7 linked regions of the Kluyveromyces lactis genome follow. The protein of the gene in region 3 purifies or fractionates together with the protein of the main gene of each other region. This does not show direct contact. Links are inferred from orthologs where the notes say so. Each region holds a gene or a part of one and is shown on either strand. Other genes may lie near its edges.

Region 1 (3,526 bases), on a different chromosome or scaffold from region 3:
AATTTGTTTCCCTGAGAGCTTCTGCGCTGTCAACAGATTGGAAATCTTGTTGAAGTTGAAGCAAACGCAGTTTTTCTTTTAACTGCTGTTCCTTCTCGTTCACTATGTCATTTAAAGTACCATCCGATTGTTCTGGTTCTAGCTTCACAGGTCCTGGTGTTGGTTCCCTGGTCTGCAAAGTTGACATGGATTCCTGGACAACTTTCTGTAGAGAATCCACCTTTTCGTGATTGATACGAACTGCCCTGACAGGGAAAAGATTGGCCAATTGTTTAGAGGCTCTGGTCTCTTCACTCATGGCTGCATCAGTATTAGAATCCTCATCTTCATCAAACAGATCGTCAGTTTCCTTCTTGAAGTCTGCCTCTGTATACTCTTTCCCCATGTTAATTCTCTTCCCAGCTTTTGAATCTTCTGCGTCCGATCCCTCTGCTTCATCATCAGAAACAGCTTTCAAACCGCGTTGCACAAGACTGCTTTGAGAACCCTCCGTCTTAATGAATCCATTATTCCCTTTATTAGATCCTCCAGAGAAATTACCAGCTGCCAATGGGCCTGATGTGATAATTCTTGTGTTGTTTAAATACTTCGGCTGCCTCTTCTGGTTGCCCTGTGGTTTCTGTGTATATTTCTTCTTCTCAACCTGTTTATTCGGCTCTTCTACCTTCAGAACGTTAGCATCTCGTTCCTCCTTAGATTTACGAGCTACCACTTTGGGCTTAAACTTCAGCGAGGTTCCGGTTGATGGTTTCCCCTGGTTCAATCCAGGTAAACGTCCACTCATCTTTAGTTGATTCCTATCACAATTTGATGCAAATAACTTCTTGACTCAAGCGTTTAATACTGCGATTCTCGACCGTTTCTTCGTTCAACAGCAAATCCTAATATGAAAACGAAGACTAGTTACTGGATACTAACCCTTGCATTGACTATTTGCGCATCAACTTTGCTCATCTCATTGTGATCTCTTCCAGTAGTAGTGCAGCTTTCAATTTTGGTGAAAAATCTTGAAAAAGCAATGTTGGAAAATTTTGTTTAAAGTTAAAGCTCATCTCATCTCATCTCAATTCAGAGAATAGGTATAACTAAGAGAATGACAAGCTGCATAACAGGTAACTACTATCAGCCGCTGTAATCGACTGTATATTGAGTTGGACTTAAATTGTACTGGACATTGTACTTCAAATATGGCAAAGAGAGGTGCAAAGGTCTCAAAAAGAGGGTCTAATCGTAGACAAGACCAGGAAGAAGATGTTGCCTATGGCATGAATGAGGTCGATGACTTTGCAAACAAGAGAGAAAAAGTGCTACTTGAGGACGCAGGTCTTGATCAAAGGGAACCAGAAGATGATTTTGATCTTTCAGTGGATGAAGAAGAAGAAGTGATGGGAATGTCAGATGAAGATAGTGAGGATGAAAGTGAAGAAGTTGAAGATGATGAAAGTGAACAAGAAGAATTAACAGGTGAAGCTGTGTATAAGAAGGTTTTTGGTAGGAAATTAGACGTTGGTGAGAATGCAGAAGAAGAGAGTGGTACTATGCTGGACAATGAGAACGCATGGGGTGCTTCTAAGGCAGAATACTACGGTGCCGATGACTTGGACGATGAAGAGACTGCAAGAGAGATAGAAAAGGAAGCTTTGCGCCAACAGAAGAAACATTTGGAAGACCTTCATATGGAAGACTATCTTGAGGATGAAGTTGATGAAGAATGGGTAAAAGAAGCTAAGGAATTCGATTTAGGTCAATTTAAAGATCAAAAGGATCAAGAACGTCCTACTGAAATCTCCCTTAGGGATGTTCTCAACATGGACTTAGAGAGAAAGGAAGGTTTCTTGAAGACATCCTTCCCAGAATACCTTCCTTTATCAAAGGAATTCAGTAAATTATCACCCGTTTTAGACGAGCTGAAACTCAAACAAACTGAGGAGAATAATGAATTGATTCAGATCAAAATTATGGCATTATCTTCATATCTTGGAACAATTAGTTCATATTTTGCAGTTTTCTTATATGAATTACAGAATAACGAAGATTTCATTTCTATGAAAGATCATCCGGTAATGGAGCGTATTTTGGAGTGTAAAGAAATTTGGAGACAAGCTAGCGAACTACCGGACACAGAAGCAATACGCTTTGAGCAAGACTCTGACGCTGAAGAAAATATTTCGGATATTGGTGAACTTGATGAAGAACTATTACAAGAACAGGATGAACTGGACAGTGAAGCAAGTGCCAGTGACGATGAGGCAGAAGATGAGAATGAGGACGAGGAGGGTGATATGGAAAGCGAAGAAGAAGAAAACTTTGATATCGAACTTTCGAACAGAGCTGCAAACAAAGTTCAGAAAGACAGGATATTACAAGACGTTGATGACTTTGTTGAAGATGAGATTGCAGATGTTGATGTCCAAGAAAAGAAAACAAGGAAGAAGACGTTACGTTTCTACACTTCCAAAATCGATCAAAAGGCTAGTAAGAAGACTGATAGATTCAAAGGTGATGACGATATTCCCTACAAAGAAAGACTTTACGAAAGACAACAGAGGCTACTTGAAGAAGCTAGAAAACGTGGCTTGCATGATAAAAATGCGGCAGATCTTAATACGGATGATATCAACTCGGATGATGAAAAGACTGCCAAAGACATTAAACGTGATGCCGAGAATGAATATTACAAGAGCATCAGGGCTGATAGACAACACAAGAAAGATTCCCGTCTTCAAGCACACAAAGAGGTGGCGAAAGCTGCTAAGGAAGGAAAATTGGCTGAATTGGCCGAACACATTACAGAAGATGGTAAACGTGCAATCAACTATCAAATTCTAAAGAATAAGGGTCTAACACCAAGAAGGAAGAAGGACAACAGAAATTCGCGTGTCAAAAAGAGAAAGAAGTACGAAAAAGCTCAAAAGAAGCTCAAATCTGTGCGTGCTGTCTACTCTGGTGGTCAATCTGGTGCGTATGAAGGTGAAAAGACTGGTATTAAGAAGAATCTAACGAAGTCTGTGAAATTTAAAAATTAGTACTAGATGATATTTAGTGTATCTATATACTCCATGCATTAAAAAAAAACTCGCATTATTCATTCGTGTAATATTTTGCTTTCTGAGTACTCACGAATTAGCAGCTTTGTCCAGCATCCAATATTCTTTGTAGTTTTCTCCGTATTGCATGCTGTATCTTGTCAGAATGGATGGACTCAAGATCAAGATCCCATGCTACAAACTCTTTCGCAATATCCTGGTCAATTCTAAATTGGTTCAATTCTTCGATAGTTAGTTTGCTGTAGTTCTTAGCAATGTCAAATCCATCTGCTATCTGAGTTGTAAGTTCTTGTGCTCTTTGGACAATGCTCTGCCTTAAGCCACAGTTTTTGGCACAGAATATACCAAAAGAGTTCGTGGCAATTCCGGTGCTCAATTTGTACAAAAAGGTAATCATTTCATCTCTGGCATTTCCTTTATTTTCCTTTTCCATCACCTGCAATAAAATCTCGGTTTTATAGAATACTACACCATTAATT
Region 2 (3,584 bases), on a different chromosome or scaffold from region 3:
AGATGGAGCATATGGTGATATCCAACGACATTTTCCACTGTGCTGTAGGTGAACACACAAGTAGATGGAATAAGACGGAATATGGGTACGTTTTACTTGATGCGTTGGCGAAAAATACTACGGGCATTGCCAAGGAAGAACTATTGCAGAAATGTTTTGAACTTTTATCAAACCATACGTTTAATGAGGGCGAAGATGTGGATTCTGTGACGACTTCCAGTATTTATGTACCGCCTTTAAGAATTACTAAAGGTGCAGACGCTATTGGAACTTCATTGCCAATAGGCGATTACTATGGAACTAGATCCCAGATTGTCATACTTGTCGACAAAGATAACAGAGTTACGTACGAGGAGCATGTGATTTATGAAAGTGATGAGGATTGTGAAACATACTCTTTCATGGATCCAAAAGAGGTAATTCAGTTCCAGTTCAATATGGAAAGCTGATGAAATCATTTTACGAAAAGTTCTAATGTTTATGATTATACTACACACTTATTAGCATTCTAAATAGTCCACTGTGTAAGCTGAAATAGGTTGTGTAGAAGACGAATTTGTTGATGAATTAGATTTATTGTTAACAACCGATGAATGCTTGGTGTAATGCTCTGCCAAATGCAAAAGTTCTATGTTTTGTGACACTACAGAAACCTGCGCATCGACAAAAGAGGAAAGTTTCTCTAAATATTCATCGTCTAACGCAAACAAACCGATGGAATCTATTATTAAACTCATAAGTTGGAAGATTTGTGGCTTATTAAGTTTCAAGTCCGAATCTGCCTTATTCGAGTTCAAAATCATATCCAAAAAGTTTGTGATATCCATCTTCTCAATTTTTCTTATACCTGCTTTGATTGATTCTTTCTTGTAATCTTGTAGCACTCTTAGCGTAATATCAAAACAGAGCTCTGCATTCGTTATATTGAAAAGCTCGGTTAACAAATCGTCAAGTGGAACATTCGGACAAGTAACAATAGCTTGTTTGAAAAGTCTTGGGTTATTTTTCAACTTGGTTAATAAGCCCTTAGCGTGAACCGGTGGGAATAAAGGGTGTGTTAGAAGGTATGTCAATGCTTTTGGATATTCATCCTTGAAATTTAGAAACAAGCAATCGATTATTTGAGTGAGTAAATCAGAATCATTTAAAAATCTGTCATTGTCTGTATAATATTCCTTGTCTAAGGAAAGCATCTTAAAAAATATAGAATCAAAGTTCTCTATTTTTTTACAGATATGGAGTTGTTTTATAATGCGTTCATAGTCTGGAGATGGCAATTCCACATCGTCGTCCTCATTGCTTTCTTCAAAGAGTTTCTGTAGTTTCTGCTTTTGTTTAACCATGAACCCTTTACCCATCGCATCTTTTAAGGTACCGGTACCAACATCAATGTTAATAACATCCAAGTAACTCGTAGGGTTAGCACCGTTTTTAGTTGTAACATCTAATGCTATAGTTTTTCTATTGTCTTCAGAGTTTTCTTGAACAACTGCAGTAGAGAGTAGTTGAATAGCTTTGATGTTCTGTAAATCCTTTTGGAATAGTATAGCATTGTATAACAAATCCACAAGATATATGGTATTATCAGCAGTCAACAATACACGGTTTGAAGAAACTGGTTTGATGGATACAACTGCATCCTTGGAAATGAAAGGTAGCTGAATGCTAGTTTGTAGTTGCAAATGTGGTAACTGATAGATTGATAATTCATTTGAGTTCTTTAAAACATATAATTTCCCGAACTCAAAACACAACTTTGCATTCTCTAAAGTGTAATTTTCTAGTATGATAGAATTTAGTTCAATACATGAGACGGACTCACTCCTAACTTGGAAAAGTTTGTAACAGATTTTCTCATCACTTAGTTGGCATAACACGAAAAAGAAATCGTTTCCCTGCCCATCTTGGAAGAATTGAACAAATCTGATATCATCATAAGATATATCAATAGTATTTGAAAGTTTCAATTCATAATCAAATGTTTGAATCAGTCCATTCCTTAAGATAACGAGAACTTTCTCTGCTTTAGAATAGATCTTAATGCTAACGACTTCAGATTTTAGTTTATATTTGAACTGAGATGTGATTTCAGCATTTGAAGATGACACGGCATCTTGAATCATCGGCTTAGTAGCCAAGTGTAAATGTGATACCTTTCTAGCTTCCAATCCGTAACACCAGACTTCTGTATTGGCTGCATCTTCTACCACGTCACATGCAGTAACAATGTTCGTAGAGGGGATTGGCAAGTTAAAAACCAGCTTCGGGGTTGGATTAATCAAGTATTGTGATATACTGGAACCTGATATACCAATATTCACTTTATTGGCTGATGGTGAAAGATTATCAACAACTTGTAAGTAGTCTGTTTGATTCGCATAATTATTCAATGATGGAATCTTAGGTAGAGCAGAGAGCCTAAAAGGCTGTGAGATGGATGCCATTTTCTCAATATCTTTCGATAAATAATATCAAAGCAAACTGTATTGAACACAGGATATTTGATACTTCACCTCGTCCTTTCAAGAGCAGCGGTTGAGTGTATCTTTGCACTTACAGCTCATCGCATCTCATCGCATCTCATCTCTTCTTCTGAGTACTTCAAATTTTTCAAACTTTACTTTTGGGAGTCAGTCCGGGTAATATATAGTGTCGAAATGCAAACAGAAACAAGATGAGATGCGATGAATATACTCAGATATCTTCCAGGTGACAGAAAGTGTAGCCCTTATTTGAATGCCACAAATCACATTGTAAACTGGACACAGGCTGATAATAAATATTCGAAGATGAATGATCTAATGGAAATTGAAAAAAAGTTGAAGAGTTTGCGGAAACAAAAAGTGGAAGTAAGTATAAGGAATAAGAAGGCCATAATAGCTGAAGAGAAGAAAAACTCTGAAAGAAGAGTATACAGTATGGCTGACGATGGCGAAGATAAAGCTAGAAGTAACAAAAGCGAACCAGAAGATCCGATAAAATTGGCAAACTACTCAATACGCGAATATGAAAAATGGGAAGCTAAGACACAGAATTCAAGACATAATAAAAGCGTGATGGGGGACTTCCAAACTATAGCAAAGAACAGCTACAAGAAGGAAGTAGATGCGCTTCCGAAGGATATATCACATCCGTTGAAAGGTGGAATAACTGAGGATGGGAAGGTTCAAGTAGAAGATAATCCTGAACTAGTAGAAAAAATGGTGAATGATTTGAACGAACGATCAAAGAAAAGGTATATGGTACGGAAACAAAAACTAGATAAACAAAATAAGATCAATTTGGATGATGGATTTATTAATGACAAGAATAAACGGTTTAATGCAAAATTGAATAGCGAGTTCAAATAGGCATGGGAAAATAGGTATATTGGGCATTTACATATGAGATATTTACGATTGATTATGAATAATTATTTTATTTTAACGATATATAGAGGTGGATTTCTTCATTTGTCTTCAGAATCTAGTGAGTTAAGGACTTCTAGATCTTCTTCTAAGCTCTTGACACATTGCTTGTAATGGATCAATTGGAAATTATGGAACAACTTAACCAAAGAAATGATCTCAGAACTATCTGTAAGT
Region 3 (4,242 bases):
GGCAGAAAGGAGACAGAAGAGGATCGAGGAAATCCAAATGTTGTTTCAATAGACTATCATGACATTCAATCATATAGAAGCCTTTTAGGGCTTTGCATTTAAGCTGTTATTTAATTCGTTAATCATCAAGTAGTAGATATTCATCTTTGATCATAAATCCATGGGATACCTTGTTGCGTCTTGCCCATGAACGGATGATATTGAGTCTTATTTCAGAATCACTTAAACAATCAAGATATTTGAGAGCTTGAATTATATCATTGATTCTAAAACCAGTGGCCTCGGAAAGATCCTTCAAAGTGACCTGGGCCACATCTTTCAAATTACCTTCAGTCAACTGCCAAACTATTGAGAAAGACCAAAATTTAAGATAGCCAATTAAACCGAAAGGAGATAGAGGAACTTCAGGACCCGAAATCAGACCCTGACATCTTGATAAAGTGTAGGAAAACTCAATCAAGAGAGTACCCAATCTTCTTCTTTGATAGGGCGGAAAGACAAGAATACATGCAAGGTTATTTTGGTGGTAGGAATATAAGTCTTTTGAAAAAAATGCCATCGGTACTGTAGAATTGTTCTCATACACAATATAGAATTCGAAATGCTTAACTTTGAAGTAGACAGACTTGTTATCAAGAAATAGCTTAGTAAATAGACATAAGCATTGGCAGAAAACTTCATGCTTAGAACCTTTTACCCTTCGTATAGTGTATTCGGGGCTTCTGTATTTTATTCTACCGGGTGGCTTATTCTTATATCGGCAAAAGCACTCATGTGCGATTAACTCTGCTTCATCATCAGTGTACTTGAAACAATATTCACATACGTATAGGGTATCAATCCAATACTGATCTTCAAACTTCTTTTCAGTAGGGCTTTGTTTTGCGGTGTGCTCATTGTTCGATTCCTTGAAGCCCAAGGTCCTCTTATTTCTTCCAAAATAAACATTACTCCCGTACCAAGTTGCAAATCTTTTATTCAAGCCAAATTGGACGTGCCTAATATTAGGCTTGTCAAGAATACCATATATTTCTTCATCCTCTGTTGAGCTGTTGTGCTTATCAGGTTTGGGAACCATTCATTAATGATTTGAAAAGAGGCAAAAAATGCGATTTATCACGTTTCCCAAATTTAATGAGTACTTGAAAACCCAATTAACGGTGGAATCAACTGCTCTTTGAACTTAAATGTACAAAAGATTGCCTATATCTTTGAATTATCAAAACGTTGAAAGCGACTTTCTTTTTTTTTTTTTCATCTTCCTTTATGGCAGAAAAAGCTTTAAAGCTCATCGCATCTCATCGCATCCAAGCTCACCTGCATCTATATATCAAAATCTCGTTGATAACAGGCTGGTAGTCTGAATGTTATAGGCCTCTGTGACATTAACAGTCAAGAGAAGTACCTCGCACGTTAAACGGTCAAAAAATTGAACAACAAACATGGGTACCTATAGGAAGCGCTGGAATGAGAAAGCACGCGCGGGTCAGATGTCTAAGTTGAAGGAGTTGAAGAGAGTAAGGAATAGGCAGTTCACCCGTGCACTTGAAAATTCTTCCGATGCTGATTCTGAAGAAGGTAATTCATCTGAAGATGAACATCATGAATCACCCGATCATCAGGAAGATACGAACGCTGCTGTATTGAAACCCATGACGGAGGAAGAGAAACAAGAGAAAAAGCGTAAATTGGAAGAGCTATTCACACCTAAGGAAACGAAGGTCTCTAGGACGAAGAAAAAAAGGTTAGAGAAGTTCATCGAGCATCAATTGAAAAGAGAGGAGAAAAAAGTTTTGATAGAAAAACTTCAGGACTATAAAATTGATACTAAGCTTTTGACAAGTTCTAAGATTTTGGGACAAGGAAGGCAAACTAAGAGGCAAGGGATTGAAGAAGCCCTCAAATTAGAAAGAAATGGACGTGGTGATGAAACTACCAGGGAAATTCTTTACGATGAAACTGAGGTAAGGGATTGGTATCAAGATCATCCAGAAACTAGGCCCAGTCAGGAAAGCACAGCTGAAAATTGCAATTCGGATAGTGATGAAACGGACCATACCAGTTCAGATCACCCTATTTCGGCAAATACTGGGGGATTTATTGATAATAGACCCAGTAAATTTGGTGGGTCAGGTTTTGGTTTTGGATTCGGTAATGCAAAGGTGGTGAATAAAAGGGCCTCGAAGAAAAGGTATAACTGGAAGCAAAAGGTAGAGCAAGAAGAACGTAGAAGGCGTAAACTGGATGATGATCAGGATTTTGAATCTGACGAAAGTGAATCAGAAGAACATTCATCCACTGCAGAAAGTGAACCTGATGAGAGTGAATCTAATAGTAATGCTGATAGTCACAGCGATGATGAGTCGAGTGAGTCTGACGGCGAGGAAAGATCGGATTCAGAAATAGCGCAGTGCAGAAACGTAAGTTCTTCAGTTGCCCAAGAATTTAAAGAGTGGGCAAATCAGGAAATTAAAAAGCTTGAAGGTAGAGATGTAGAAATGGTTATGCCTTCCTCCAACATCAAGGTCGATAGGACCGAGAGACCTGAAGACTTTGAAGATGGACTCAAAGCAGATGAATTTAATGTGAACGAAAATTCAACACGTAAGGCTTTTTATGTCAAGGTACGGAGATCTGATGCTGTTCAAGCTGTGAGAAGCGCACTACCTGTTTTCGCCGAGGAACATAGAATTATGGAAGCTATCCATCATAATGACGTTGTAATCATTTGTGGTGAAACTGGTTCAGGTAAAACGACACAGGTACCGCAGTTTCTTTACGAGGCAGGATATGGTAATTCGTCCTCAACTGACACGCCTGGGATGATTGGAATAACACAACCTAGAAGAGTGGCCGCTGTCTCTATGGCTGGACGTGTTACTAATGAGATGGGTGATCATGGCGAATATGTAGGATACCAAATTCGGTTCGATTCTTCTACCAAGGATAAAACAAGAATGAAATTTATGACTGATGGTGTTTTGCTAAGAGAGATGATGAACGATTTTAGACTTTCTAAATACTCTTCTATCATTATCGATGAAGCTCACGAGAGGAACATCAATACAGATATTTTGATTGGTATGTTAAGTCGTTGTGTCAGCTTACGTGCTAAGGAGCATGCAACTGATCCGGCTAAGTACAAAAAACTTAAACTAATTATCATGTCTGCCACCTTGAGAGTATCAGATTTTAGTGAAAACCCTACTTTATTCCCTGTTTCTCCACCTGTCTTAAAGGTCGACGCCAGGCAGTATCCAGTGGCTGTACATTTCAATCGTAGAACAGCTTATAACTATGCTGAAGAGGCTTTCAGGAAGACGTGTAAAATACATCAAAGGTTGCCTCCTGGTGCTATCTTGGTTTTTATGACAGGACAGCAAGAGATCACGCACATGGTAAAAAGGTTAAGAAAAGAGTTTCCTTTCCCCAAGAAACATCAAACTCTCATTCAAAATGACCACATACCTACAGTGAAAATAGATGCCAAAACTGCAGATGTAGAAGCTGAAGATATCGACTTCAGTGTCAGAGTTAGAGAGGAACAAGAATTTGACGATTGTTTACTCTCTGATGAGGAAGATATTGAGGACAAAGAAGAGGACGAAGAAGAAGGTTTTGAAGAAACACTTGAAGAAGGTCAGACGGATAGAGATCCACTATATGTTCTTCCTCTTTACTCGCTATTGCCCACCAAAGAGCAAATGAAGGTCTTCCTTGATCCCCCACCAAACTCCAGATTATGTGTTGTTGCTACTAATGTGGCAGAAACATCATTGACCATACCGGGAGTAAGATACGTCGTTGATTGTGGTAGATCAAAGGAAAGAAAGTTTGATGAAAATAATGGTGTTCAGAGTTTCGAAATTGACTGGATTAGCAAAGCTTCTGCTGGCCAAAGAAGTGGTAGAGCAGGGCGTACAGGGCCTGGTCATTGTTATCGTTTATACTCCTCTGCAGTTTTCGAAAGAGATTTTGAGCAGTTTTCTAAGCCTGAAATTTTAAGAATGCCTGTGGAGAGTATAGTTTTGCAAATGAAGAGCATGGCTGTTCATAATATTGTGAATTTTCCATTCCCTACCCCACCCGAAAGACCAGCTTTGATGAAGTCAATAAAGCTCTTACAACACCTAGGTGCACTCGACAGTAATGAAAGAATCACTGATGATGGTAAAGCAATGAGTTTGTTTCCGCTAAGTCCAAGATTTTCTAAAATGCTGCTTGTTGGTAATGAAAGCGACT
Region 4 (2,738 bases), on a different chromosome or scaffold from region 3:
CGTCTGATGAAAAAATATCCGCCAGTTCTGATTTGGACAATAGTCATGGTACTCGAAGTGCAAGTTTCACAATTTCACCACAACAGAGAGATTTTTCTTTTGGTTCCATAGAGCAAAAGTTAAACGAGCTGACAATGGAATCTGATCAAGAAGATCAACTAGAAAAACCATTGGTGCAGAATAAGGCAACTAAATCTAGTCTTGAAGATTCAGATAATGAAGACAACGAATTAATCTCAGATATCATGGAATTTGCAAGTATAATAGACTTTGGACAAGATATCGAGTTAAATTTTGATCTCTATTCTGACAATCGTTCACACTATGAAACTCTAAATCCGGTCAAAGAATCTGTGAAAAACTCTCTATCCAAGCCCAGCTTCAATACTGAGACAGAAAACTCATTTCTTGTGGAACTTACTAACTCCCCAGAAATTAAGACAAACAGTTCAGTACTCAACCAAAAACAGACTGGTTTGGATGATCAGAAACACATATCAAGTACTATAAAAACAAGAGACACATCACCAGAAAATGTTAGCAGTAGCAACCAAAACACTTTTTCTGATAGCAGTTTATATTTTGATAATTATGATGAGGAAGATTTTGAGAACGAAGATTTTAATGGCATACATGCAGTAAAAGAATCCCCAAAGATCAACGCATTTTTACCAGATATCACAACATCGATGAGCAGGCCTATATCGATGTCTTTTAGGGGTTTGAAAGCGCCACAATTCAACAGTACCATGGAACTTTCAGGGCTTACGGGACTTGAACATATCTCAGATCAGATGTCGAAGAAATCGGAAGAAAGATCTAGCTATGCAGCAAAACTTGTTAAGTTTTCCTCTCAAATAGTCCTTTATGAGACCTATGGTGAACTTGAGTATGATAGGCATCCTGATTCGGCAACATGCAATCAACTTACTCCTCAATTGGCCCAAATGATAAAGGACGAGCTGAATGAGCTTAAAGCAGAAATGGACATTCACGAAGATTCTATGTGCAACACTCACTTCTTTTAGTAGACCTATAAATACATGTAATCATAGTAGTTAAATCATTTACCATGCGTTTCTATGTTTCCCTTTATATGGATTCAAATCGTGCACGTAGCTTTCGTGTTGAGCCCGCTTTGAAAGCTTTGGTAATATTACCCTACTATTTGAAAATAATTCTAACTTGTCTTCAACATCTCCCAAATTTTGAAAATTGTTTCACTCATTATGAAAATGATAAAAAAAGAGCTGCTTTATGCGATGAGCTAACAGTAATACCAAACTAGCTTAAATATGGCCTGTAAGATAATAAGAGTGTTTGATAACAGTAAGGTTTGTCTATATGCATCGTTATAAAATGAAGCCTTTTAAAAATTTCCCCCAGACTGTTATACCCGGTGATCTTATATGTCCAATATTTGATGTTGATGATGATAACAAGCAAGAAGTGGTAATACGCTTCCTAACGGGCACTGGCTGTAAACAGGAGAATTTTAGAGTTAACGGCAAGAACGTTGATATTATCGTAGCCACATTAAAAGGTTCTGTATCTGTGGAAGAAGTTCCAGCAGATATTATCGAAGACGACGATCAAGAAGACTCAGAGAATACGACGTTTGTAGAATCTCATGAGACCACCGGAGGGGATGCAAGCTCTGGCAATAGTAGAGTTATAAAAAGTTTCAAAGTATCAGTATCAAATCCTAGCAAGTTTGCTAGCAAGTATGTTGATGACCAGTTTGTCAATAACCTTCCGCAAGAGGGCGATATCGTACTGGCGAGGGTGACCAGAATCAGTTTGCAAAGAATAACAGTTGAGATTTTAGCAGTTGAGAATTCGCCCTTGCCGATCGACTCTGGTGTCGGAAGCAATGGGACTGGCATAATTGCTGCTGCTGGTGGATCTGGTGCGTCTACGTTTTCCGTTTCGCAAGTGTCCGCGGATTTGGGAGAAACTTTTAGGGGCATAATTAGATCCCAAGATGTAAGGGCCACTGATAGAGATAGAGTAAAAGTTATGGAAAGTTTTAAACCTGGGGATATAATACGTGCTCAAGTGCTCTCACTTGGCGATGGTACCCATTACTATTTAACTACAGCAAGGAATGACTTGGGCGTGGTGTTCGCTAAGTCTTCTAACGGAGCTGGAGAACAGATGTATGCAATTGATTGGCAGACAATGATTTCACCAAAGACCGGAGTCGCTGAGAAACGAAAATGTGCAAAGCCCTTCTAATATAGTCGGAACACAACAAGCTTTTTGTTCAAGTCTATAGGTACCTTCACATACATACATTTACAACTTTCATTTACATTTACATTAGTTTCGTATTAGGCTTCACGCATATTGGGAATATTGAGGAAGTTTCTACTAAGATCATTGTGAATTCAACGCCTGAATATCATATGTTATTATCAGAAAAGTTAGTTGGACTTTTAGTTGATTGGGAATTTCAACTCATCGTGGTCACCTCTTAAATCATATTCACTCAGTCCAACTTTTTTTCCGAACTTCTCAAATCTTTGTAGATAATGCTTTCTCTTCTTCTCTGCAATTTGAGTTAGGACAGGCCAATAGGCTTCATGATTATATTTGAAGTCGAGGTTACCACCATAAAGCGTCTCGAGTTGATCAGGTGGCACATAATTTGGAAATGGTTCATCAAAAACCAATTTTTCACGAGTCAACGGATCAATAAAAGGATGGATGAGCTTCAAAAAGGTCCACGCAAGCCA
Region 5 (2,277 bases), about 1.2 Mb from region 3:
CATCCGGTATATTTATATCTTTACTCAAAAGCTGTAAGCTTACCATTTGCTCCTTCAACAACTTTTCGTCCCACTGAATATCTTTGGCTGCGTTTTCTCTTAACCTCAGCAGCCTTTCCTTGTACTCTTCCTGTTTATCCGAGATTTGGGTGAAAATTTGTTCAATAGCCTCAACTTCAAGCTTATTATGATCTCTATATTGAGAAATGTATCTGTAACGATAAATCAAATTTTCTAATTGTTCTTTCGTTTCAGGTAGTGGCAAGATTACTCTTTCCACCTTCTTCATTTCTTCTAGAACAGCGGCAATCTGGTTCTGTCCAATAGCACTACCACTGTCGTTCCGAAAATTGTTGTTGCTTCCTTTGTCAGCACCAACATGGTTGTCTTCGATATTGCCGTTAACGTCCTGGTTTTCAGTTTCGGAATTCCCATTATCAACATTCTCAGAATTCACTATAGGAAGCGGATAAGGAGGCGCTGTATCCGCGTTATTCGTTACGACGACTTGATCCATTGTTGTTTTATTTCACACTTCTTAACGTGATCCAGGTCTCTTCCCGCTAGTGAGCTTTAAACCTTTTTTATTCTGAAAGGGGGTAAAACAATAACTGAAGTCCTGCTAAAAAAATTCAGAGTTGTCACAAAGCTAACGCGATACAAACAGGTACTATTGCCCTAGAATTCTTTACTGTTTCGCTTTCGGTGCGTCTATTTTTTTAGCCGCCGTTGCCGTGTTGAAAACAAACCTCTGTTCGTCCTTTTCTCGTGTCAAAACTAAATTCAGAATAAAATCAAACTGTTTTCAAATTCATCCTCTTTTTCACAATTTTATTTATCGTGTTTACTTTTTTCTTTGACATTCACTATTGCCATGGGCCAAAGTACGGGTAACAACAACAAGAACCGGGTAATAAACCAACTTCGATCACGTGCCAAAATATTCGCATTAAAGTGGGCACCATTGTTTCTTTTCTTGTTTAATATTTCATGACCTAAAATGAAAATTTGGATAATACGCCATGGATGAGATGAGATGAGATTAGATGAGATGTGATGAGAGTGAACTATCAAGTTCCCCGATTGAGATAGTTACAGTGCTTCGAACTGTTACAAAAGTGTCTTCTGTATTGACAATCAAGGTTTGAAGAACTAAAATTCTCTGATTATAATGTCATCTCTTGCAGCTGCTCATGCTACCAACGCTGTGAACGCATTGTTGCAAAGCGTACTGCCGGGTTCTGCGTCGGTTAATGCAGAAAGAAAGAAAACAAGCCGAGACAAAGGCTCGAAAGCACAACTAATAGATAGGAACTTGAAGAAAAGAGTAGAGGTACAAGAAAAGGATGTATACCGGATCAAAAAGAGGGAGAAGAAAATGTTGAGAAAGAAGATATCTGGAAGAAAAGAAGTCCAAGAGGATATAGAACAGAAGGCTAAGCTACAAGTACTAAGAAAGCATCAAGTAGATAATTCTCTTACGGATCATGAGAAATCCTATTTGGATAAAGTGGTGAAGAAAAATGTTCGCAACCTGAAAAGTTGGGATTATGACGATAAGGAAGAACTGTTAGATTTACAGAAACAAATACTTGCCAACTCAGAAGATTCAAAGAAGGTAAGGAAGGTAAAATCTAGGAGACAAAAGAAGAAACAGTTCAAGGAGAAGCTACCACAATCGATACAAGACCACAGATATAAAGCTCTCACACCTGGATTGGCTCCAGTTGGTGCGAGCGATGAGGAGGAATCAGAAGACGAAGATGAAGATTATTGAGCTCATATTTACAAAGACGTACAGGTACGGAGTTTTCATTGCGGCTCATACAAAGGTGTGTTTTTTTCTCTCAGCATATGATCAAATACTCAGTAGACTCAAGTGTTCATTGTCGGTTCATATATATTAATTAAGTATATTCATTATTTGAAGGAAGTAGAACTACTCAAATGGTACCTGTCCTAATTCCAAATATGCCTGTTTTGTGTCTATGCATTGTTTGCGCACTCTACGCTTCGAGTCATCTAAACCAATTTGAAGTTTTGATATAATTTCATTCTTCATGGGGATCAAGTAGTTAAGGGGAACACTGGTTGTTAAAGTCTGAAGAATTTCTAATGACAGAAATCTTACGTTCACGTTACTATATTTCGATGGGACCAATAAGTTAAGTAACAGCGGAACTAACGAATGGACATGTTCAGTAACCAACTGAGACATTTGATTCACAGTATTTTTTAGTGTCTCTAGAGATGATATTCTGACTTCGATATTCTCTA
Region 6 (4,046 bases), on a different chromosome or scaffold from region 3:
TCGCAAGTAGGCCAGTTTTCAATGCTTTCATCCAATATAACTTTATCGCCAAAAATTATAGTCTCAAACTCACCGTGTTCAATTAGTCTGTTTAAGATATGTCTGCATGGCTTGGATAACACTTTCGCATCCATGGCACAAACACCAATTTTACCAATCTTTGGTAGCTGAGGCTTGGACGAGGAAGTTGAAGCTTTCCTCGAAGAATTTGTCGAACTTGGAGTTGTTGATCCGTCAGTGTTGGTTGTGACAGCTTCATTAGAGACTAATGCTTGCGGAATGAAGGGGAATGCATGAGGTTCTTCCAGCATAGGAGATGGACTAGGCGATCCTTCCAGAATAGCAGAAACTGATGCTGATCCACTTTGGTTACTTTTCAGTCTTTGAAGCTTGTTACCATTCATGCTATCGAATGAGGTGCCTAGGACACTGGGAGTCATATGACGACCTGTCGAACCAGTAGAAGAAATACTAAGCGTTCTGACGAGCTTATTTGTCTCATCATCATCATCAGAGGTAAAACCAGCAGGTGGCAACTTCAACGACTTATTCTCACTAGAAGAGGTCTTCGGCGTGAACCCTTCAAGGATAGGAGCGATCGATTCCATAGCCTTTTTCGTATTCGAATCTAAAAACAGTGGAGGCATGGTATTTCCGTTGATTGCCTCTTGACCCTCATCAGAAATTGAACCTGGAGAAGACATGACTGGCAGTTCTGCAATTTGATTATAACCAATGCTGAAACTTCAGTTAAAATTATTTTGTAGATCGTTGCAATTAATCGATTTCTGTTATAAGCGGATGCATGGTACGATTATTCCCCATGTGTTTAATTTTGTATATAAATTTATATGTGAAGGATAATAGTGAAAACTTGATAGAAAACTGTGAGTAATTCTGAAGTAAAGACCAGTATCTAAGCAACACCTCCATGTGTTTCGCTAGTGAGATTTCAGACTGTGGTATGGTTACTATCTAATGGCATCTAATGGTGAAGTTACATAGTATCTTCTCTATCCAAGTCTAAGAATCACATTTGCAGGTTGATCCCCCTTATGTGTCACGTGATATTCTGATTTCTTTTTCTGTTTCAGCGATGAAAATTTCGAAGCTCGACGTTTTAAAGAAGCGATGAGATGAGATGAGATGAGATAGATACCTATCGTCAGCAGCTAATTACTGGATTCGCTTGTTGTTCAGTTAATTAAGCGATTGCATAAAGTCACAGAACAGTGCATTAGCAATCATGACAGTGGATGGATCGTTAAAGAAACGAAGAGTTGGTTCTTCCGGCGCTGTTAGGAAACATGCTTCCAGAATATTTTCTCCGTATAGAATTGTAGGTAATGTATCTACTGGAGTTCCTTATGCGATTGGTACCCTAGGTACGACCTTCTACATTGTGACTTCTGTTGGTAAGTCGTTTCAGATCTTTGATGCCAATAATTTGCATCTGCTATTCGTTTCAGATAAGGAGACAGAGGGAGACATTACTTGTTTGGCAGCGCATTTTCATTACGTTTATGCAAGTTTTAAGAATAAAGTTGGGATCTATAAGAGAGGTAAGCTAGAACATTTGATTGAATTACCTGATCCAAATACCGTGGTGACCAAAATTAACGTTTTCGGTGAATATTTGATTGCTTCTACAGATAATAATGTTGTTTATATCTATAAGAAAAATTCCCCATCTGATAAATTCGCTACTGAATTATACACCAATTTCACCATTGGTAAGTTACAAGGTGGTGATATTGTTGATTTGGTGCATTTACCAACATATGTTAACAAGTTGCTCGTTGTGACTAAGTCTAATTTCACCTTGTTTAACGTTCGGACCGGAAAACAATTGTACACTTCCGATGAGTTCCCCGATGAGATCACCACTGCTGAACCTGCACCTGCTTTAGACATCGTTGCCTTTGGTACATCATCTGGTGAAGTTATTTTATTCAATTTGCGTAAGGGTAAGAAAATCAGAACCATTAAAACGCCGACGAGAATTTCTTCAATCTCTTTCAGAACGGATGGTGCTTCTCATATCTCAGTAGCATCAACCAGTGGTGATTTGATCTTTTATGACTTAGATCATCGCTCACGTGTTCAAGTGTTAAAAGGCATTCACAAGGAAGTGAATGGTGGTGTTGCAAGAGCATCATTCTTGAACGGTCAGCCGATCGTTGTCACTTGTGGTGGTGACAACCAGTTAAAAGAGTTTGTTTTCGATCCATCCTTATCGCAAGGTGACTCTGAAGTGGTCATTCAACCAGCCAGATTATTAAGGTCAAGAGGTGGTCACTCTCAACCTCCATCCTCTATTGCATTTGCTGACGATCAATCTCATTTCATTCTTTCTGCTTCAAAAGATAGATCTTTATGGGGGTTTTCCTTAAGAAAAGATGCACAATCGCAGGAATTATCGCAGCGTCTGCATAAGAATAAAGATGGAAATAGGATTGGTGGAAGCACCATTGGTGAGAAGTTCCCTGAGATTACATCAATAGTCATCGAAAATAACAGACAAGGCCAATGGGAAAACATCTTGACGGTTCATAAAGGGGAAAAGTTTGCAAGAACATGGAACTCGAGAACAAAAAGAGTTGGTAGGTGGACAATCCCAACTAATGATGAGGGGTTTGCGAAGAGCGTAGCTATATCACAATGTGGTAACTTTGGTTTAGTTGGCTCTTCAAACGGTGGTATTAGTGTTCACAACTTACAAAGTGGACAGAAGAGAAAGGTTTATCGTTTACATAAGAAGGCAGTTACTGGTATTGCAATGGATGGTATGAACAGAAAGATGGTGTCATGTGGGTTAGATGGTATTGTCGGATTTTATGACTTTTCCAAAAGCACTTTTTTGGGAAAGTTAAAGTTGGATTCACCTATAACATCAATGGTATACCATCGATCATCTGACCTCTTCGCATTAGCATTAGATGACCTTTCCATTGTTGTCGTAGATTCGGTTACTCAAAAAGTGGTCCGTCAACTCTGGGGGCATTCCAATAGAATTTCATCATTTGACTTCTCACCTGATGGACGTTGGATCGTTTCTTCGTCATTAGATTCCACAATTAGAACCTGGGATTTACCAACAGGTGGATGTATAGACGGTATGAAAGTGGAAAATGTCATCACTAACATTAAATTCTCACCAAATGGTGACTTATTGGCTACCACTAGTGTATCTGGTAATGGTATTTCCCTCTGGGCTAATAGAGCTCAGTTCATTTCAGTATCAACCAGACAGATCGACGAAGAAGAATTTGCCACTGTTATGCTTCCAAACGTTTCCGGAGATGGTGGTTCCAACTTTTTGGAAGGGGCTTTTGATACAGAGGAAGATGATTCCGAAGATCTCTTTGGTAAATATGACTCGATGGAGCAAATTGATAAAGATTTATTGACTCTTTCTTTGGGACCAAGGAACAAGATGAATATCTTACTCAATCTCGATATAATTAAACAACGTTCGAAACCAAAGGAGGCTCCAGTTAAACCAGAGCAGGCTCCATTCTTCTTACAACTTGCAAAAGATAAGGTGGGCGATGAGGCTTCAGCCAGGGAAGGCGCTGAGAATTTGAGTTTGGATTCCTCTAAACTACAACAGGAGCGAAATGCTGCCAAAGCTAATGCTGCTAGTGAACTGAATAAATTCAAACCTTCAGGAAAACTTGGTGCTCAGTTCGAATCTGATTTCACTAAGCTACTTAGAGAAGGTTCGCAGAAAAACGATTATTCAGCATTCCTTGACGAATTAGTCCAGATGACTCCCTCAAATATTGATTTGGAGATTCGTTCTTTGAAAGCTTTTCAACCATTTGATGAGCTATGTCGGTTCATTGAAAGTTTGGCTCAAGGTTTGGCTACCAACAAGAACTTTGAGTTATATGAGGCATATATTACCATCTTATTCAGAGTGCATGGTGATGTAATTCATTCTAATAACACAAATCAAAATATCAAGACTGCTCTGCAACATTGGGATACCAATCACCGCAAGGGCCAATCATTGGATGAATTGGTAAAATTCTGCGGCAGCG
Region 7 (4,282 bases), about 670 kb from region 3:
CTATCAAATTTTTTCATCTTGGATTCGTTTCTCACGTTCGATGCATCTCTTATAATCTGGTGCTTCGGCAAATTTGCAGGTGCAATAACATGTATTGGAGGAGCAAATTGAGGGCCTTTATCTCGCTTTGCAGTGTGTTGAACTAGGTTAATCAATTTATCATCTTCCAAACACTTGGCGGCTAATTTGGTAGCGAAGTATTTGATCTCCACACCGTTATCTAAATGATACGCTTGTTTCATGAACTCGATATGATCAGTCCCCGGTGTGTCAAATGAAGTTACCACGGTGAAATAATTTCTTTTATAACCAATCCAATCGTCATCTATGAAATCAAACCCTCGATCAATCCGAGGCTCCAATTTGATTTCTTGAATCTGTCCAAAATCGTTCAATATCTTGTGATTGGGCACCACTGGCGTAAAGCCTGGGCCTATTTTGAACTGCAATGTTGACCTTGGAGCAATACGAACTTTTCTCTTGTCAAAATGACTACTTAATGACCCGTCAGCGTTCCTAAAAGTTTTGATCACGTCCCCGTCAGCATTATCAAGTGTTTCCAAAAATTCGTTCTCATCTATATTGATATTCTCATCGTTCAGATGGTCCAAATCCTCCATCATAGCAAGTTTGATCACATAAAACTATACTCTGTTCCTATTAAAAGAAAATATAGTTAGCTCTCACTCTCCTCCTGGCTATTGCTATGGAATAACCGCCGAGCTTACCTGAATGACCACGAAAAAATAAAACCAAAATAAAACCTAGGAATCGTACGTTCCGTATAAGAGATAACCACAACTGCGCTTGTTCAGGTAAAGAAACAACCTTATAATCGAACCTCGTTCTGATGTCAGTTCTTAACCTCTTATCTTATTCATCGGATCTATTTCATAAGAATATTGCCCTTATTCCTTGTGACACAAAAATACTGGTATTTATATAATGTTAGTTTTTCCCTTTTCGTCAGTCATGAAGAAAACTTTAATTAATACCCATGAAAACTACTACTGAAGTTTAAATATGAATTTAAAATATTAGTCGACATCACATAATGGTGCATTATGCACACGTAGTCATTTCTTGAAATTAGCCGCCGAAATTACACTGCGCATGAAATTCATGCGGGTAACAGTATATTTTCATCAAATAATTCCGGGTAAGTAGTATCTTTTCTTTTCTCTGCCTAATTTTTTTTTTTTTTTTTCATTGTCTTTTTACTATTTCATCGTATTAGGTAGGAATTTTATTTCGAGATGAGATGAGATCAAATGAGATGAGGTGGTTTGCTGAGAAGCTATCTGAGTATTACGAGACGTTTATTTCTCCCCAAAATACCTGATTACTGTACTTCGTTACTACAAAAAAAATCATTAAAAACACTAACTCTTCCCAACGGTCGAACTTCCAGCGAAACGTAACTGTCATTGTTTGTTGTTAAAGAGTGTGTTCTTAAAACTTTAAACCAGAAGTTAGATTACGATGGGTAAAAAAGCTATTGATTCTCGTATCCCAGCTCTCATCAGAAATGGTGTTCAAACAAATCAGAGATCATTTTTCGTTATCGTTGGTGACAATGCTCGTAACCAGCTACCGAACTTGCACTATTTAATGATGAGTGCTGACCTCAAAATGAATAAATCCGTGTTATGGACGTATAAGAAGAAACTCTTGGGTTTCACTTCACACAGGAAGAAGAGAGAAGCAAAGATTAAGAAAGAGATCAAGAGAGGTACCAGAGAGATAAATGAACAAGATCCTTTTGAAACTTTCATCTCTAACCAAAACATTCGATACTGTTATTATAAGGAAACTGAAAAAATTTTGGGTAACACTTATGGTATGTGTATCCTACAAGATTTTGAAGCTTTGACTCCAAATTTGCTAGCAAGAACCATCGAAACCGTTGAAGGTGGTGGTATCATTGTTATCATGTTAAAGTCCATTTCCTCTCTAAAACAGTTATACACTATGACTATGGATATCCACTCTCGTTATAGAACGGAAGCTCATGACGATGTCGTGGCAAGATTCAACGAAAGATTTATCTTGTCCTTGGGTTCGAATGAAAACTGTTTGGTAGTAGATAGTGAGTTAAACGTTTTACCTATATCTGGAGGAAAAAACGTAAAACCACTTCCACCAAAGGATGATGAAGAAATTTCACCAAAAAATCAAGAACTAAAAGAATTGAAAGTGTCTTTAGAAGATGTTCAGCCTGCGGGATCATTAGTTGCTCTTTCAAAAACGGTTAATCAAGCTCATGCAATCTTGACCTTCATTGATGCCATTTCAGAGAAAACTTTAAATTCAACTGTAGCATTGACGGCAGGTAGAGGTAGAGGTAAATCAGCTGCTCTAGGTATTTCTATTGCTGCTGCTGTATCCCATGGTTACTCCAATATCTTTGTAACATCTCCTTCCCCTGAGAATTTGAAGACTTTATTTGAGTTTATTTTCAAAGGATTTGACGCTCTAGGCTATCAGGAGCACATTGATTATGATATCATTCAGTCCACCAATCCAAGCTTCAACAAAGCCATAGTCAGAGTAGACATCAAGAGAGAACATAGACAGACCATTCAATATATTATTCCAAATGATTCTCATGTGTTGGGACAGGCAGAACTTGTTGTCATTGATGAAGCTGCCGCAATTCCACTACCACTTGTAAAGAAGCTTTTGGGTCCGTACTTAGTGTTTATGGCATCCACTATTAACGGTTATGAAGGTACCGGTAGATCTTTGTCTTTGAAATTGATTCAACAGCTAAGAACTCAATCCAACGGTACTGGCCGTGAAGATTCCGAAACAGCACTTGTTTCCAGAGATTCAAAGAAACAAGAAGTTCAAACAAGTGGCCGTTCTTTGAGAGAAGTTGTCTTAGATGAACCTATCAGATACGCTCCTGGTGACCCAGTTGAAAAATGGTTGAATAAATTACTTTGTTTGGACGTTCAACTAATCAAAAATCCAAGATTTGCTGCTAGAGGCACACCTCATCCATCTCAATGTAATTTATTCATCGTCAATAGAGATACTCTATTTTCTTATCATCCTGTTTCTGAAAATTTTCTGGAGAAGATGATGGCTCTTTATGTCGCATCGCATTACAAGAATTCTCCTAACGACTTGCAATTAATGAGTGATGCACCTGCTCATCAACTATTCGTTTTATTGCCTCCCATCGATCCAAAAGATGGCGGCAGAATACCTGATCCCTTAGTGGTCATCCAGGTCGCATTGGAAGGTGAGATCTCGAAGGATTCTGTCAGAAATTCTTTGGCAAGAGGTCAAAGAGCTGGTGGTGACTTAATTCCATGGCTAATCTCACAGCAATTTCAAGATGAAGAATTTGCCGGTTTGAGTGGTGCCCGTGTTGTTAGGATTGCAACCAATCCGGAATACGCCTCTATGGGTTATGGGTCTAGGGCTCTGGAGTTATTGAAAGATCATTTCGAAGGTAAATTCACCGATTTGAATGAAGATACGGTACAAAAGGACTACACAATCAAGAGAGTCGATGACAGGGATTTGAAGAAAGCAGACCTCTTGAAAGATGAAATCAAATTAAGGGATGCAAAGACGTTGCCACCATTGCTTCTGAAACTCTCAGAACAAACCCCTCACTTTTTGCATTACTTAGGTGTTTCATATGGTTTAACAAAATCTTTACATAAGTTCTGGAAAAACAACGGATTTGTCCCAGTTTACTTACGTCAAACAGCGAATGATTTGACTGGTGAACATACATGTGTTATGGTTAAAGTTCTTGAAGGTCGTGAATCAAAATGGCTGGCAGAATTTGCCAAAGATTTCCATAAAAGATTCTTGTCTTTATTATCGTTCGACTTTAAGAAATTCACTGCCATCGAAGCGTTAAATGTCATTGAATCTGCTAAGAAGGGTGAAACACTAGACCAAGACTCGGAGGGCAGATCGTTCCAGAATAAGGTTTTAACAAGGGACCAATTGGATTCCATCTTTTCTCCATTCGATCTAAAGAGGTTAGAAAGCTATGCTAACAACTTACTGGATTATCATGTCATTGTTGATCTTCTACCAATGATGGCATTGCTATACTTTAGTGGAAAGCTGGGTGACGGTGTATCATTATCAAGCGTACAATCGTGTATACTACTTGCAATTGGTTTGCAACACAAGGGCATTGATGACATAACGAAAGAGTTGAACTTACCATCCAATCAAACTATTGCCATGTTCTCCAAGATTATCAGGAAATTCACCAATTTCTTCAGGGAAGTTTTAAGCGAGTCTATTG

Evidence for each region.
Region 1: the proteins of ECM16 (region 3) and SAS10 purify together in Saccharomyces cerevisiae (affinity purification with mass spectrometry, with the first as the bait; 4 studies listed by BioGRID). This does not show direct contact. The link is inferred for Kluyveromyces lactis from reciprocal best matches to the Saccharomyces cerevisiae genes ECM16 and SAS10.
Region 2: the proteins of ECM16 (region 3) and UTP8 purify together in Saccharomyces cerevisiae (affinity purification with mass spectrometry; 3 studies listed by BioGRID). This does not show direct contact. The link is inferred for Kluyveromyces lactis from reciprocal best matches to the Saccharomyces cerevisiae genes ECM16 and UTP8.
Region 4: the proteins of ECM16 (region 3) and CSL4 purify together in Saccharomyces cerevisiae (affinity purification with mass spectrometry; 3 studies listed by BioGRID). This does not show direct contact. The link is inferred for Kluyveromyces lactis from reciprocal best matches to the Saccharomyces cerevisiae genes ECM16 and CSL4.
Region 5: the proteins of ECM16 (region 3) and RRT14 purify together in Saccharomyces cerevisiae (affinity purification with mass spectrometry; 3 studies listed by BioGRID). This does not show direct contact. The link is inferred for Kluyveromyces lactis from reciprocal best matches to the Saccharomyces cerevisiae genes ECM16 and RRT14.
Region 6: the proteins of ECM16 (region 3) and UTP21 purify together in Saccharomyces cerevisiae (affinity purification with mass spectrometry; 5 studies listed by BioGRID). This does not show direct contact. The link is inferred for Kluyveromyces lactis from reciprocal best matches to the Saccharomyces cerevisiae genes ECM16 and UTP21.
Region 7: the proteins of ECM16 (region 3) and KRE33 purify together in Saccharomyces cerevisiae (affinity purification with mass spectrometry; 7 studies listed by BioGRID). This does not show direct contact. The link is inferred for Kluyveromyces lactis from reciprocal best matches to the Saccharomyces cerevisiae genes ECM16 and KRE33.

What each region holds. Positions count from the first base shown.
Region 1 is NC_006039.1:1,433,878-1,437,403, forward strand, and holds SAS10 (rRNA-processing protein SAS10), read left to right. Parts: upstream 1-1,187; coding exon 1,188-3,026; downstream 3,027-3,526. Other genes in the region: RPC53 (DNA-directed RNA polymerase III subunit C53), read right to left, coding at 1-784; MutS family protein MSH5, read right to left, coding at 3,124-3,526. UniProt on the Saccharomyces cerevisiae protein: Primarily required at the G2/M phase. Essential for viability: involved in nucleolar processing of pre-18S ribosomal RNA as part of the ribosomal small subunit (SSU) processome.
Region 2 is NC_006041.1:413,043-416,626, reverse strand, and holds UTP8 (Utp8p), read right to left. Parts: upstream 2,445-3,584; coding exon 501-2,444; downstream 1-500. Other genes in the region: KLLA0_E04687g (uncharacterized protein), read left to right, coding at 1-449; SYF2 (Syf2p), read left to right, coding at 2,685-3,350; KLLA0_E04621g (uncharacterized protein), read right to left, coding at 3,449-3,584. UniProt on the Saccharomyces cerevisiae protein: Involved in nucleolar processing of pre-18S ribosomal RNA. Also has a role in nuclear tRNA export. It acts between the steps of tRNA maturation/aminoacylation and its subsequent translocation out of the nucleus.
Region 3 is NC_006042.1:1,597,097-1,601,338, reverse strand, and holds the start of ECM16 (ATP-dependent RNA helicase ECM16), read left to right. Parts: upstream 1-1,442; coding exon 1,443-4,242. Other genes in the region: DNA helicase RAD5, read left to right, coding at 1-52; SAS2 (histone acetyltransferase), read right to left, coding at 119-1,078. UniProt on the Saccharomyces cerevisiae protein: Probable ATP-binding RNA helicase. Required for 18S rRNA synthesis. May play a role in restructuring of the pre-rRNA.
Region 4 is NC_006040.1:1,659,619-1,662,356, reverse strand, and holds CSL4 (exosome non-catalytic core subunit CSL4), read left to right. Parts: upstream 1-1,344; coding exon 1,345-2,238; downstream 2,239-2,738. Other genes in the region: BNI4 (Bni4p), read left to right, coding at 1-1,028.
Region 5 is NC_006042.1:439,167-441,443, forward strand, and holds RRT14 (Rrt14p), read left to right. Parts: upstream 1-1,171; coding exon 1,172-1,777; downstream 1,778-2,277. Other genes in the region: RSC chromatin remodeling complex ATPase subunit STH1, read right to left, coding at 1-517; MET18 (Met18p), read right to left, coding at 1,940-2,277. UniProt on the Saccharomyces cerevisiae protein: Involved in ribosome biogenesis, probably through modulation of rDNA transcription.
Region 6 is NC_006038.1:253,201-257,246, forward strand, and holds the start of UTP21 (rRNA-processing protein UTP21), read left to right. Parts: upstream 1-1,246; coding exon 1,247-4,046. Other genes in the region: inositol polyphosphate kinase VIP1, read right to left, coding at 1-704. UniProt on the Saccharomyces cerevisiae protein: Involved in nucleolar processing of pre-18S ribosomal RNA and ribosome assembly.
Region 7 is NC_006042.1:2,272,077-2,276,358, reverse strand, and holds the start of KRE33 (ribosome biosynthesis protein KRE33), read left to right. Parts: upstream 1-1,482; coding exon 1,483-4,282. Other genes in the region: transcription factor NDT80, read right to left, coding at 1-623. UniProt on the Saccharomyces cerevisiae protein: RNA cytidine acetyltransferase with specificity toward both 18S rRNA and tRNAs. Catalyzes the formation of N(4)-acetylcytidine (ac4C) at positions 1280 and 1773 in 18S rRNA.